2 linked regions of the Mytilus edulis genome follow. The protein of the gene in region 1 interacts with the protein of each later gene in a biochemical or structural test. Links are inferred from orthologs where the notes say so. Each region holds a gene or a part of one and is shown in the gene's direction. Other genes may lie near its edges.

Evidence for each region.
Region 2: the proteins of leucine-rich repeat serine/threonine-protein kinase 1-like (region 1) and sorting nexin-21-like form a complex in vitro, tested with the Homo sapiens proteins (2 studies listed by BioGRID and IntAct, with this or other methods). The link is inferred for Mytilus edulis from reciprocal best matches to the Homo sapiens genes LRRK1 and SNX21.

Annotation. Positions count from the first base shown.
Region 1 is NC_092347.1:2,554,945-2,562,262, forward strand, and holds the start of leucine-rich repeat serine/threonine-protein kinase 1-like, read left to right. Parts: upstream 1-4,295; 5' UTR 4,296-4,376; coding exon of another isoform or gene 4,377-4,425; 5' UTR 4,426-5,236; coding exon 5,237-5,285; intron 5,286-7,115; coding exon 7,116-7,318.
Region 2 is NC_092348.1:5,570,088-5,577,866, reverse strand, and holds the start of sorting nexin-21-like, read left to right. Parts: upstream 1-4,775; 5' UTR 4,776-5,055; coding exon 5,056-5,200; intron 5,201-7,779. Other genes in the region: myoneurin-like, read right to left, coding at 2,595-4,775. UniProt on the Homo sapiens protein: Binds to membranes enriched in phosphatidylinositol 3-phosphate (PtdIns(P3)) and phosphatidylinositol 4,5-bisphosphate. May be involved in several stages of intracellular trafficking.

The DNA of each region.
Region 1 (7,318 bases):
GGCCGACATCAGTAAATACAGTAACAGGTGAGCAACACAGGCTCTTGAGAGCCTCTAGTTTCAGAATTATGTCCCTTTATAAAACAGAAAATAGCTTACCGTATTTTATTGGTTTCCAGACATAAACTTAAGAAGGCATCTACTATATCATTTCACATTTCATATTTGAAATTTTGTTTTTGAATTTGACCAATTTCACATTTGATTTTCATTAGGTATTCCCCTTAATTAAACTAGCAGGACAAAGATTATTTTTTGTTCATAATGTAGATTCAGTTTATATTCATTCACTTTTTATGATTTCAGAGAATTTCAGAGAAATCATATAGTTGATAAAATGGGAAATAACCTTTTTTTTGTTTATGAAGGATTTATTTAAGTATTAAACTTAAAGTAAGCTTTAATTTACCAAATCTATTGAAATTTGTCAACCACAGAATCTTTTTGAATTTGACTGATTTTACTTTTTTCTTTTGAGAATTATGCCCCTTGATAAAACAGAAAATTGCTTGAAATTGTATTTTAGAATCTAATTCTCACCAAATCATCTATGGAATGTTTTATGGGTTTACTAAACATAAAGGTCCAGTTCAATTTTGTCACTTTTATCTCAGGAACTTGAAAACAAAGATTCCTGAAACTTGGTATCAGGCTTTCAGTAGGGACTTCAATCTATTGTTTGGTGCTTCTTCAGATTCATAGCTTTTCAACTGCTCTGTATATTCTGACCTCTTAAAATAAATGTTGTAAAAGCAAACTAAAATCTCAATGAAAAATAATTTATTAAGAACATCGATTACTTTCTTACAAAAAAATAATTTCCCACAAAAAATTAACTCTCGTGGAATTAATCATTTATGCATGTATAGAAATTATGATTAAAACGGTACAAGCTACCAGATAAAATTTAAGGGGGTAGACCTTGGTTCAGGGAGATAACTCTTTAAATCAGTTAAGCGTTTGTAAAAGTCAAGTTCATCAATGTATTTTAAGCATTTACCTGAAACAGATTGAAAATAATCTATGTAACCTAGAAGCTTAGAATATGTTTTTTGAAAATGGTTGACACAAACGTACTGATGATTTTAAGAGTTATTTCCCTTCACCTAGGTCTACCTCCTTAAAATATGATTTTTTTTGTTCAATCATTAAGGAAAGTGAAAAAATGAAATTATAATTCGCTTTAAGCAGCAAGTCTGGTTTAATTTTGTCGAAATAAGCTAAGAAATATTGACGATGAATTATTCACTTGCAAGTAAACAATTCAATTTCATTGAATCTGTATTCATATCACTTCAATTTAACCCCTTTAGATAGAAATGAATAAAAATGAACTGTGCGTGTAAAGTAAGTTAAAGGAAAAGAATGTCAACATTGAAAGTAAAACGAAGGTAAATTATTTGATTGACTGCTTCGATCCATTAAAAAAATCATTCATACAGGTAAAGACAATGATTAACATTTATTTTTAATCTATAAAATTAAATTAAACAGACTTAGAAAAATCCAATTGCATCATTTTGATATCTATTTATAACTATATTCATGTGTATATCGCTTATCGGAGGTCAACTAGATAGTTAATTAGATGGCTTATAGACTAAAATAGACATAAACAAAGCTACATATAATTGAGTCCATGCCCTGTAAGTTGTTTATTTTAGCCTTTTCACATGATTTTAAATCAAATATGAGAATTTGAGTCAAATCAGTAAACACAAATTTGACAGCTAGTGCCCCCTAAAGAACAAAAAATGTATACTTAGTTGTATTTCAAAATATGACGCTACAAAAAACTGATGCAGGAAAATATTTTTTACACATATATAAGTTAAAATTTTTTCAATTCAACAAACATGCTTTACCAGAAAATTTTTGGTGGAAGAAGACTTCAAGTCTTCTGAAGGCCAATGGTGCTGACTTAAAATCATTGATTCTCCGTATGCTGCATTCGTTTCTGTATATTACAATTTATTCCGTTAAATATTTCGGTTCCTGACACCGATTTAACATATAAAGTAAGCATCTGAATCATTTAATTTGTAAATTAGGATTGAAAGACAATCACAATCGTAAATATGTACCCTTTTATTTATGTAAATTATTAGATTTCATCCCATCTACATTTGTTTCCTTGTAACCGGATGTTTTTACTGTCGATATTTGTAGTACACATGCCTGAATTGGGTATCGGGACAACTTGCCCTGTTTACATGTTTGCCCTTGGTCTGTTCGTCCTGAGTTCTTTCGCCCGTACAGCCCTGTGTTCATTCTTTTTACTCTTATCAAGGACGTTTATAATAATTCATTGCATTTATTAAAAAAATTTAATATTAAGGGTATCGTTAAAAAACCCTCTAAAAAACGTGTTCCTTGTAAAACAAACGTGTTCAGCCAATCAAATTCTGTGTTACTCACGATGAACTTGTGTTGTTTTGATTTTATCCAAACTCTGAAAAAGTGGTGACATCTAACTACGCTTCTTTACATTGTTTGTAGAGAAAGGGAAGTATGACCCGAACGATAACGCTGTATGGAGTGTAGTTTTCATCTAGTTGTAAAATCGTGAAAATGGCATGTGAATTTTCATCTGCAAGCAGGTTCTTACACAGCTGAAGGATAAAAGCATGGCTGATTGACAAAATTCAATGATGCATTACTACCATAAAGATGATTAATAGTATTTTTTACACTAATTTTTTGACATAATACATGTTGTAACATATTTTATTTTTGTATTCAATTAAATCATTTAAAGGACAATATACTATTTTTTCTTTCACGAAGACCCCCCCCCCCCACCCATTATGAGTGGTGTCCTTCAAATGAGGGACTGTCCCTAAATCAAGGTGTAATTTTACTGTTGAAAAAAATAAGAAAGAACATTTTTAAGATAGTGGGAAAATTCATTGTATTTGGAACAACTTTTCGAAATGAGGGTTCAAATTAATAAAAAAAGATGTAAGTTTATAGAAACATCACAAAATTTTTTTAACATGTTTTGACCAATTAAGACTTGATAGATGCATAGTTCTTAGCGAAAAGTTTCATCAAATAATATGAATATAAAGGTGCTCATTTTTTACAGTGGGTTGTAATGTACTTCCAATGAGGGTTACCCCTCATTTGGAGTGTTGTTCCCAACCTGTTAAAGGTCCATCTTTGTGCATAATTCAAAATTGGAAATTTCAACAAGCATCTAATATTCTTACACAAGAAAATAAACCCTGGTCTGCTGGCTACATGTTCATCTTTTCTAACGATTTAATAACTAGAATCATGCAAACAGACTTAAGAAAAAGGCATGTAAGTTCATCATACAAATATGACACTTTTTCTAGACAATCCAGATCGTGCACTTAGCTAAAAATTGTAACCTTTAAAATTGTTGTCCCGCACTAAAAACCCTGATGGGAACTTTCAAAAGTTGGCAGGTATGTAACAAGTCTTACTATTTTTATGCCCCATTATGGGCATTATGTTTTAGTCTGTCCGTCTGTCCTGCTTCAGGTTAAGGTTTATTGCCGAGGTAGTTTTTGATGAAGTTTTTTAAAGATTTTACCAAATTTTCACAGTCCACTGAACATAGAAAATGATTGTACAGATGGGAAATCCATGTACTTATGACACATTCTTGTTTGAAGAAAAAAATCCAAAGCAGGCTGGGTTAGTGGGGCTGCTTTTATGGTAATTCAAGTAAACTTTTATTCACCTTTTTCCACCTCAGAGCTATCAGCTCTTTGATTTATATATATTATTTTATTGCATGTAGTTGTGGCAAATAGGTTCAAAATATTTCAGAGTGCTTCACAATATTATATTATATAGAGCTGTTATATATTATTCTAGCTCATAATAATTAATAAAGGATTAATATTTTCTTACATTAGAATAATTTTTATATAATTTGTAGACATTTGATATCTATTTATCGATATATCTTGGTTCTCCACATGTTTGTGGAAAATGTTAGGACCACACTATAATTATACAGGAGAGTATACTAGTTTAATGATAAAAAAACCCCATTAAAACTAAATTTACTGAATTGAAGGAAAAAAATAGTACACTTTTAGCTTGATTACTGATGCCTAAATATCTGTCACATAAAATAATTAGTAAACTCATTATGGGTTAAATAATTAGGACATGCACAATGCATTTTTTTCCTGTGAGTCTTTACAAACTAAAACCCCCGTTTAATGTGGGTGAATGGATTTAAATCTCAATCTTTGAATAAAGTACTTCAACTGTTAGAAATATGTGTATTTAACTCATTCAGGAAGTATATCTGTCTTCCTATAATGTGTACACACAAATGACAGATATTTGTGTTAATACTTAGGTTATTTTAAACTTGGAAACCTGTGCATGCGATGTGGTTCGTTGTTACAATATTACATATAAAGAATATAAATGACAGCCGTACGTATTGCTGTAAACTTTTTACACTTAATTGCAGAGGAATACATATTTTTATACATGTGAATCAACATCATATTAACATCTAGGAAGTAGGAACATGTGCTTATTTATATAGACTCAGTTTTCAAGTTTTGATGCAGATGCATGGATTTAGTTTCTTTAGGATAGTATCTAAAATTAGCAGCTCTGTTCAGACTTTGGAATTTAAAAGCAATCAAGGAATTATATAAGTAGTTTTATATTGTTTGAGAAGAAGTTTTTTATTGATTGAGTTATATATACTGGTACAGACATTGAAATTATAGTTATAAAGATTATAATGAAATGTGATAGATACATGTGTATTAAAGCAGAAAGATGTTGTATTGAAAGACTTCTTCTCCGTTTTATACATAGTACCACAATTACTAATGAAGTGTCAAAGTTTGACCTAATCTACTAAGACAACCTGACAATGTGAACTTTTAATTTGTCTTAAGATATGACTGGGATATATATGTGTATAATCAGATAAACATCAACGATAATATTTATGATAATTGATATTTGATAAAATGTTAACAAGACATAAAATGTGACCAACCGTCGGTGGTGTGTTGAAGGGATAAAGTAGATTCATCTTTATTAGCTATTTTACAGGTTTGAATAACATTGGCATGCAGGAATATACTCATTAATATAGATTATTAATTGCATGAAGTCAATTATAAACTTTCTCAGATGTACCATTATCAAAACTTAAGTTGAAGTCAGAAAATTCTCTAAAGTTGTAAATTTTTATGAATATTCTAACTGAATTACCCAAAGGAAAATGGCCAGATATTCAGAATTTACTAAAAGAGCAAGTCAGTGGATCTATGGTATGTTCAGTTGTTATCTGAGAGTGGTATATACTTTGTTTGTTTTTAAAATAGATAACAAAAAAACATTGTCGTTACTACTATGATGTCTATATATATATAATATACTATAAAACAATTTGACTTTCTTTTGAAGACATCAAACTGTTTTGTAAACCTTTGATGTACTCTAAAAAAAAATTAAGGAGTATGAAAGTAAATATATACAATGACTTCTGTATTGATCTATGTAGATTTTTACCAGATTTATAATGCAACACAAACTATACTTAATATTTGAAGTAGGCATTGAGCAAATAAGTTTACATGGTATGTTACCACAGTTTTGGATAGGGTTCATGTTGCTTGCAGTCTGCAGTTTTCTATCTAGTGTTTTGTTGTTTTTTCTTGATTTTCTGTAAATTTAACATGTTTAAACTATGGCAGGTGTGTTAGTAAGTTTGATTCATTTTATAACTAAATGTAAAATTGATTCGATTTGTTATGAATCTTAGAAAACCACAATAATGACCTCATTTGAATTGACATTTTCATTTCCTGAAAGTTATAATGTAGTGTTAAAGATACTTCATATATATATTATTAAATTTTTAAATTCTTTCATCCTCTTTTCTTATTTTCTTATTTTCATTTTTACATATTTATGTTTTTTTATCCTGAGAAAACTTGAAATATGAGTAAATTGCACCTGTCCTACTTATAACCTGAATGACACTAGATGCATTTTTTAAAGTGTTTTCGAAATATGAGAATTATTTTCCCTATAACAATGTATAATTAACATGATTAAGTAATACATTTATATTTTTGGTAAAGTACATCATAGTTTACTACTCCTTTAAAATCATATGGAAATAAAGAAAGAAAGATTTTTCATCCATGATATAATCAACTTTTAAACAACTATACAAATTAAGCCTCAATGGACATTTAAAGAATCAAACTTTAGCATAATTCTCTGTTTGAATCTGTTTCAATGTTTTTACAACATAACATTTATGTAAATCCAGTTGAAAATTTTGAGGAACGGTCATACATATGATTCAAAGAGCCTGGCATATTATCAAAGAAACTTGTTCTTGGCTTTCATTTGTAATCAGTTACATTGGACACTGGTCACTTCAAATAATCATTTGTAAAATAACCACACCACACATTAGATATTAGTCAAGGTCAGAATACATTTCCTGAAAGTCAAATCTTTTAGTACGCTGGCCACTTCAAATAATCATATTTAAAATAAACACACCAAACATTAGCATGATTAGATTGTGTCAAGGTCAGAATGCATTTCCTGAAAGTCAAATCTTTTAGCATGTTTAGTATGAGGTTATGGAATCAAAAGAGGTTAGAATATTTTACAGAACACATTAGATTCTGAAATTGATTCTGAAATGATGAAATTTCCTAATGAAAACAGAAATAGCTAGTTTAGATAGAAAGTTTTTAAAGACAAGATATATACCATAAAATTAGATGGGATACATTTCAAATTCAGTAACATACTTGATATTAATCTCTATGGTTCTGTGCTGAAACACTGTTAGTGTATGTATTAATGCATAGATCTACTGTAGTTTTCGTTTGTTTTCATGAGTATCTATTTTCGACGAAAACTTGCGTTTTCATGGATATTTACTTTCGTTTTTCCAAAGTCTTTGAACAATTATAATTCATTGAACATTTAAATTTTCACCTGTATACCCCAAAACTCAAAAGATTTGTATTAAACGGAGTATAATAAAGCCACAGTATTTATAAGTTTGTTAATTTTAATCAATAATATATCATCAATTATCAAAACTAATAGACCAAACATTTCATTTATAGATATGGTGAATGTAACAAATATTATAAGGTTGATCAACTCTGGCAATGCTGAAACCTTGGAAAATGGACTGGTCAGTGTACTGGACGAATGGGAGGATAGTGGAGATGACCGTGATATCCTAACAGTACCGTTATTTGAGGATTTACCATTACTGAATTATGCTTGTACAGTGGAAGATATTTGTGTTGATATTGTGATTGTG
Region 2 (7,779 bases), on another chromosome or scaffold:
CTATCAGTCAGTGCTGAAAGATCGATATATCAGTAACAGTCATACCATATCTTATTATTAAGGACTTTCATCTGTTCATCTCTATAGGATTTGCAAACTTTCTCTTTCACACACATAACTTGATTAGTGATCTTGTTTTATTTTCAGGAAAATTACAATTCCATAAATAAGTGCCTTAAGCAAATTTAGAATGTATATTCCTAATACAGTACTCAACTCAAAAACTTAAATTTGACCACTGACCCATGAAAGGAGGTTAAGGTCAGATGACACATGCACGTTGGACATGTGCAACTTACAATCCTTCCAAACACTAAATATACTAGACCTATTGCTTATAATATCTGAGATATGGACTAAACCACCAAAACTTGTTCACTGTTGGTTGAAATGAGACTATGCGGTATGGGCTTTGCTCATTGTTGAAGGCCATATGGTGACCTACAGTTGTTAATGTCTGTGTCATCTTGGTCTTGTGTGGATAGTTGTCTCATTAGCAATCATATCACATCTTCTTTTTATATTATCCTATTACTCGTAATTCAAGAGAAATTATCTTTACAAAAAAAATTAACTTTTTTTCAAGTAGTCACTGAACCATGAAAATGAGGTCAAGGACAATGGACATATGACAGATGGAAACTTCATTACATAAGGCATCTATATATAAAGTATGAAGCAACCAGGTGTTCCACCCTCTAAAATATAAAGCTTTTACGATGTAAGCTAAAGCCATAGCCACCATGTTGAGTTTTCTGCCACAAAAGTCACAGGCTTGACAAAAATAGGTGCATTCTCCGAAATGTCTTGGCTGCTTTATTGACCATTAGTTTTATGTTGAAAGTCTTAAAGATCTAAAGTATCACATAAACTTCACATTTTTAATGATCCATAACAATGACATCAAGGTCAGATAAATTCTGTCTGGTAGACATGTACACCTTACAATTATTATATACACCAAATAAAGTTTGATCTACTGCTTATGGTAATTAAAAAACAGACCAAAGCACAAAAAAATAACATTGACCAATGAACACTAAAGATAAGGTCAGGGTCAGATGATGCCAGCCTGACAGACATTTTCGTCTAACAATCATTCCTACAACACATATAGCTGACCTACTGCTTAAAGTACTTAAGCTCAGTGGAAAAAATGCATGAAAATTTGAACCAGAAGTGAGTTGGACAGACCTGCATAGCACAAACCGAATATTGACTAGTTGTTACTAATGAAAATGAGGTCAAGGTCAGAGTTAACCTGCCAGACTGACATGCACCCCTTACAATCATTCCATACACTACATGAAGTTGGCCTACTGCTTATTGTATCTGAGAGACCAATTTGATAACACAACTTTTACCTTGATCACTCATCCATTTGTTCCACTTTGGAAGGTGCAGTTAAAAGTCTCACAGACAGGTATTGACTGAATATGTTAATAAGTTTTGAGATTCATCCCAAAAGGGTCTTTTTAGAATGACTAGATCTCTGCATATGAACTTCTGAAAATAAGTATATCAGTTGATTTGCTTAAAGAAAACATACATGTGGTATGCTTGTGTGATATTTGCTTATTGTTGAAGGTGGCCTGTGTATGTAATCAATAAGTTTTCTCACTAGCAATCATTTCACAAATTCTTATCTTTATACAGTGACAGTGTGTGTATTAAAAGGTATACAATTCCTTTATTGTATAAGTAAAATTAATATTGAAACTCTGATCATGCCGACAAAGAACATAGTTCATCCAATTCAAGAGAAGTATACACAGACACATATATGCAGCTGCTGTACATGTTTGATAAGTACATGTAATACAAAAGGTCAAATAAAAGGATTAATTTCAGTTTCCACCATGATAAGCTGATTTTTGTTTATATTGTTTTCTACATCTGTACAGTAAAGGGAGACAAGTCATACTATTTTAAAAGAGTTTAAAAAAACACTATATAAAACCATGAAATTAAGGCAAATAGTATTTCATCTTCAAATAGTCATTGAGAGATGTGCTAAATTGACTAATGATTGATTTTTCTCCAGGATATTTAACCTATGCAATCAATACAGATATCATAGAGATTCAAGATTAACAAGTTAACATGGGTTTACCTTAGTAACAAAGCAGTTTGCCACCTCCATGACCTCGTTGACTTTTACCTAATAACCCTCTTCATTTTGTACATACACAGGTGTATGGAATATCTATTAAACATATAATGTACAAAGTGCCTGTACACAGTCAGGAACCTTGTTTTTTATGGATTTTTTTTCATTAAATGTTTTTTTGGAAATAAGTGTTGCATCCTTTTTGCTGAACAAGTTTAAAATATTATTGTTTATGGACCAGGTCAGTTGAAGCCGTCTCTGAGTGGTATAATTTTCATGTGTCAAAGACCAATTAGTGGCATTGGCTGTGTTCTGCTCATCATTGCTCATTGGTCAAGTTGTTGTCTCTATAACACATTCCGTATTCCCACTCTCAATTCTACATTAAACATGTTAAATAGAACTTTATGAAATATAAAAATTATTTGTCATAAATAATGTTATTTTAATATATATATACAAGTCTTCAAGTAACAAGTAACAATTAGTTTTCAAGCTTAGTTATCAATTGATATGGTATTTCAAATTTAGATGCCACAAGAGTGATAGGTACAGATTCTCCTCCAGGTTGCTGTATGTATACTTTTGTCTCTAAATCATTCAATGATATCTGGCCTAAACTTATATCAGAATTCTCAATATGAATAACACTAGGCATGCTAGGCATTGGAGGCTCTTCTTCATCAGGAGGAACTAAACTTTTTGGATAATCAGAAAGTCTAAACTTTTTGCTTGGTGCCACTCCATGACTGTGAATTTTGAGCAAATGTTCTTTTAACTTATCATACCTTGTTGTTGCAAAGTTACAAACTTCATGAAATTTACATTTATGTGGTCGCACATCAGTGTGAAGTAATGCATGTCTGTTTAAATTTTTTTTCAATGAAAAACTTTGCCCACATATTTCACATTGATGAGGTTTTTCCTGAGTATGTGTTAGTAAATGATATTTCAAACTCTGCTTTTTTATTGACTGGAATTTACAATTTGGATATTCACATTTATATGTGTCTCCTGTATGAATGAGTTTATGTGCTTTTAATTGACTTTTGTGAGCAGTTGCAAATCCACAAACATCACACAGATGATCTTTTGTTTCACTATGAGTGGCCATGTGGCATTTAAGTGCATGTTTCCACTTGAATCCAGTTTGACAAATTTCACAGATAAAAGGTTTAACAGTTAAATGTTTTGGAAGATGGACATTTAACTGAGCTCGAGTTTTATATTTGCTGTCACAATAAATACAATGAAACGGATTGGGTGGTTTATGAATTAGGATGTGTTCAAGCAGTGAGTCTGAATTTTCTGCTTCAAAATCACAAAAACTGCAAATATTTTCAGCATGTAGATGTTCTTGAATGTGTGTTTGTAAAACTTTGTATTTGTAAGATGAAAAATCACAGCGATCACATTTATATTCTTTAATATCACTTCCTTCAAGACGGTCTCTATCATTCTGATGAGCTTTAGTATGTCTATTATATTGATATGACGAGTTTGTAGAATATGGACATTCATCGCAGTTGTGCCATATATTTTCAAGCTTTGGCTGATTTTGGGAAGATTCATCCCCTGTTTCATCAACCACAAGAGCATCAGAATCTGATTCAGCATCATCTAAAAATTTTGATGGTTTCTTTCCTCTATTTTTTCGTGAAGGAAATCTGCCCTCTGTCTGTTCAATGTAAGTTCCTTTTCTGTTTTTCAATGTTTCAGTATTTTCTAATTTTATGCGTTTACAATTTGTATCTTCATGACTTTCTTCATGGATGTGCTTGTGATTTGATTCAGGTGCTTTTGCTGTTGGATTTTCTTCTACCTTATCAGTTTCACCTTTTCTTTTCATTTGCTTTTGTTCAATAAGGGCATTAAGTTTAGCATTTTCTGGTAGTGGTGGGCGGCCTCTTTTTCTGTGTGTTACTCCAAGTAATGAAATATTTTTCTTGCCATCCTTTTTCCTGTCCATAAGAAATGCGCCTGATTTTTTAATAAGTTTCTTGTATTTTTCTGCTGCTTGTATTTTACAATCTTTCACTTTTGGACCCTCGATTTTCTCTACATAGTCTACATTAAAATGTTCAAGATTTCGAACTTGCTTTTTTTTGCACCACATGTCAAAAACTAAGTCAATATCACATGTCTGAACAGATTTATTGTCTAAAAATGTAAATTGCGGTTCTGTCTGAGTTTGAACAGGTGTAGTTTTAGCTATTGATATGTCGGCATCTAATTGATTGCCAGATTCAAATGTATTGCAAAATTCCAAAACTTTTTCTATTTGCATAATTTTTGCAATTTCTACAACCTGAACGAGGCAATCAGAGTCTAATGTGATGTTGCTGGTGTACATATAATCAAGTACTAACGACACGGCCGTTGTAAATCCTTGGTTATCACAATCACCGTCAATGTGTATTTCGATAACTTGTGGGATTTTCTGTGAAAATGCCCTCGGGTGATCCTGACCCTGTCCTAAGAACGCACCGAAATAAGGGCTGGTTGCTGCTAGTACATTTGAATGTGCATAGAATTGTTCTTTTCCAACTCGCAAAATCACATCACAGAACCGTCGTGCCTTTCTCTGATCATTTAATAGTTGTATGACAGACTTATATTGGTTTTCACAAAAGAATGTTTGAGCTTTGGCAACAGTCGACGCCATCTTGCAAGGATACTTTTTCGAATTTGATTGGTTATAACGGATTTTGTCGTATAAAAATATGTTAAATTATATTCAAAAAGTAAATAAGACCTATTTGTATTTTTATCTGATTTCAAAAGTCTTGATTTTTCTCCCTTCTGTAAAAATAGATATTTGTTCAAAGTGACCGCTCCTGCAACCGGAAGTAACTGTGAAAAATGTAAACAAAGAAGGAAAAAAATATGACTATGGACTAGTACATGTATAATGCAGCTGCAGCTGTCATTCAAATATTTAAAAAATGCCTTTAAAGAGATTAGACTGCAATGATTGTCATTCAGAAGAAATACAGGACGAGCTGTTAGCAGATGATTCAGATGTCTTTGACAATAGGAGCTCCAACTTAACCCTAGAAATAGGCTTGGGAGACAGAAATGAAGAACCATGTAAATGATAACAATTAACCTATCCATCCATAATCTTTAATGTATGAGTGTTACAGATTTTTTTTCCTTAAAATTTAAAATTAGGAAATTAAGATCTGCCAATACACCTCACAGCTAATCAGCTATTCCCGGCTGACCTGAGAAACTGTAGCTTCTTCTTGTTCTTCCAAAACAGTGCAGTCCTCTAATTGAGTATTATAGCACATTTGCACATGCTGGGAGTGACAACAAAGGTGCAAGAAAGTATTTACCGGTGCAAGTTAAAAACAGTCTGAAGCCGTGATGGTGTGATTAAGGGATACTGCAGCTCAGTACCCCCTGCTTGAAAGAATCTAGTGAGGTACTGTCCACCAAAGGTTGTGGGAGGCTGTTCCATATCCATATGCTGTCTGGAATGAAGGAATGCCTGTATGTTGAAGTTCTGGCATACGGTACAAGACATCATGTTGTGTGTCCTCTTGCTACGGATGATGTTGTGTGTAGGTCTAGCGTTGGTATTGCTACGAGGCCATTTACTATCCTGTACATCATTATGGCTTTGCAGTTGGCCTCCTCTCAGCTAGTGGTTGCCACTGTAGTGTTTTTAGCATTGATGTTACATTGCTGGTTTATAATGGTAGTTGCTCAATACAAACCGGGCTGATCTTCTATGCACACTTTCTAATTTCTGTATGTTCAGGTTGGAGAACGGGTCCCAGACTATGGGGGAAAGTTGGGATCCCGCTAACATGTTTAATCCGTCGGCGTCACATTATTTATGCATGTGCCTGGCCCAAGTCAGGAGCCTGTAATTCAATGGTTGTCGTTTGTTTATGTGTTACATATTTGTTTTTCGTTCTTTTTTGTATACAAATTAGGCCATTAGTTTTCTCGTCTTAATTGTTTTACATTGTCATATCAGGGCCTTTTATAGCTGACTATGCAGTATGGGGTTTGCTCATTGTTGAAGGCTGTATGGTGACATATAGTTGATAATGTCTGTGTCATTTTGGTCTCTTGTGGATAGTTGTACATGTCTCATTGCCAAACATGCCACATCTTCTTTTTATATGAGCATGCATACTCAAGCAATGGTCTTACTAGCGTTGTGTAGCATACAGCTTTTGTTTGTTGGGGACAGTGCTGAGGATTTCTTTGGATGAAGGACCTGGTTGAATAAGCCTTTTTAGCTATATACTCTCTATGTGGGTGTTCCAATTAATAGTTTTGTGGATTGTGCCGTCTAGATATTTTCCTGAGTCAACCAGTTCTAAATTGTGCCCATGAATGTTGTAGCTTGTTAGATGTGGTTTGCACTTGTTGGTAAGGCGTAGCAGTTGGCATTTGCTGGGATGGAATTTCATTTGCTAATCAGATTCCCATCTAAGCAAGTTGTTCATGTCTTGTATACTAGTATATAGTAACTGGCATCATTTTGGATCCTGCTGTACAGTACGCAGTCATCAGCAAATAGACAAATGTTGATGACTAAACATACATGTAGTCTGGTAGGTCGTTGATGACTAAACATACATGTAGTCTGGTAGGTCGTTGATGACTAAACATACATGTAGTCTGGTAGGTCGTTGATGACTAATAATAATAATAAAATTGAGAATGGAAACGGGGAATGTGCCAAAGAGACAACAACCAGACCATAGAAAAAAACAACAGCCGAAGGTCACCAACAGGTCTTCAATGTAGCGAGAAATTACATGTAGTCTGGTAGGTCGTTGATGACTAAACATACATGTAGTCTGGTAGGTCGTTGATGACTAAACATACATGTAGTCTGGTAGGTTGTTGATGAAGGAACATGAGTGGTCTCCTGTGGTACTCCTGATTAGACTGGTGCAGTGTCAGATGTTTGGTACTCCTGATTGGACTGGTGCAGTGTCAGATGTTTGGTACTCCTGATTGGACTGGTGCAGTGTCAGATGTTTGGTACTCCTGATTAGACTGGTGCAGTGTCAGATGTTTGGTACTCCTGATTGGACTGGTGCAGTGTCAGATGTTTGGTACTCCTGATTGGACTGGTGCAGTGTCAGATGTTTGGTACTCCTGATTGGACTGGTGCAGTGTCAGATGTTTTACTATCCACAACGACTCTCTGATTTCAGGAGCTGAGGAAGTCCCTGATCCATTGGAGTGTTGGCCTGTTTTTAACATAGTACTCTTCTTTGTACAGAAGTCTCTTGTGTCTGACTTTATCGAATGCCTTGGAAAAATCAAAACAATCAAAACAAAACCACTTGAACTATTGACTTCACACAACAATCACTTTTCTAGTGTGGTGTCAGTTATTTTGTATTATGACGTCAACATTTACTGGAAAACCTGTATGATGGCCAGTAATGGCGGACAAATAGCGATAAGGTGTATTTTACCCTCTTGCTGTTGGTAGTTTTTTAAGGTTGCATTTCCTGTGTCAGGAAATCTGACAGCTTGATGTCTGTGACGTCACTTGCCCAACAATGATGTCATTTGATATATAGGAAGTGACACCATAATAACCATTGCATGTGGGACCCATTGCAAAAAATATAACACTGTTTAATATCAGATCTGTCTCCAGGTCTGTTTGTCTGTGTTACAAGGCA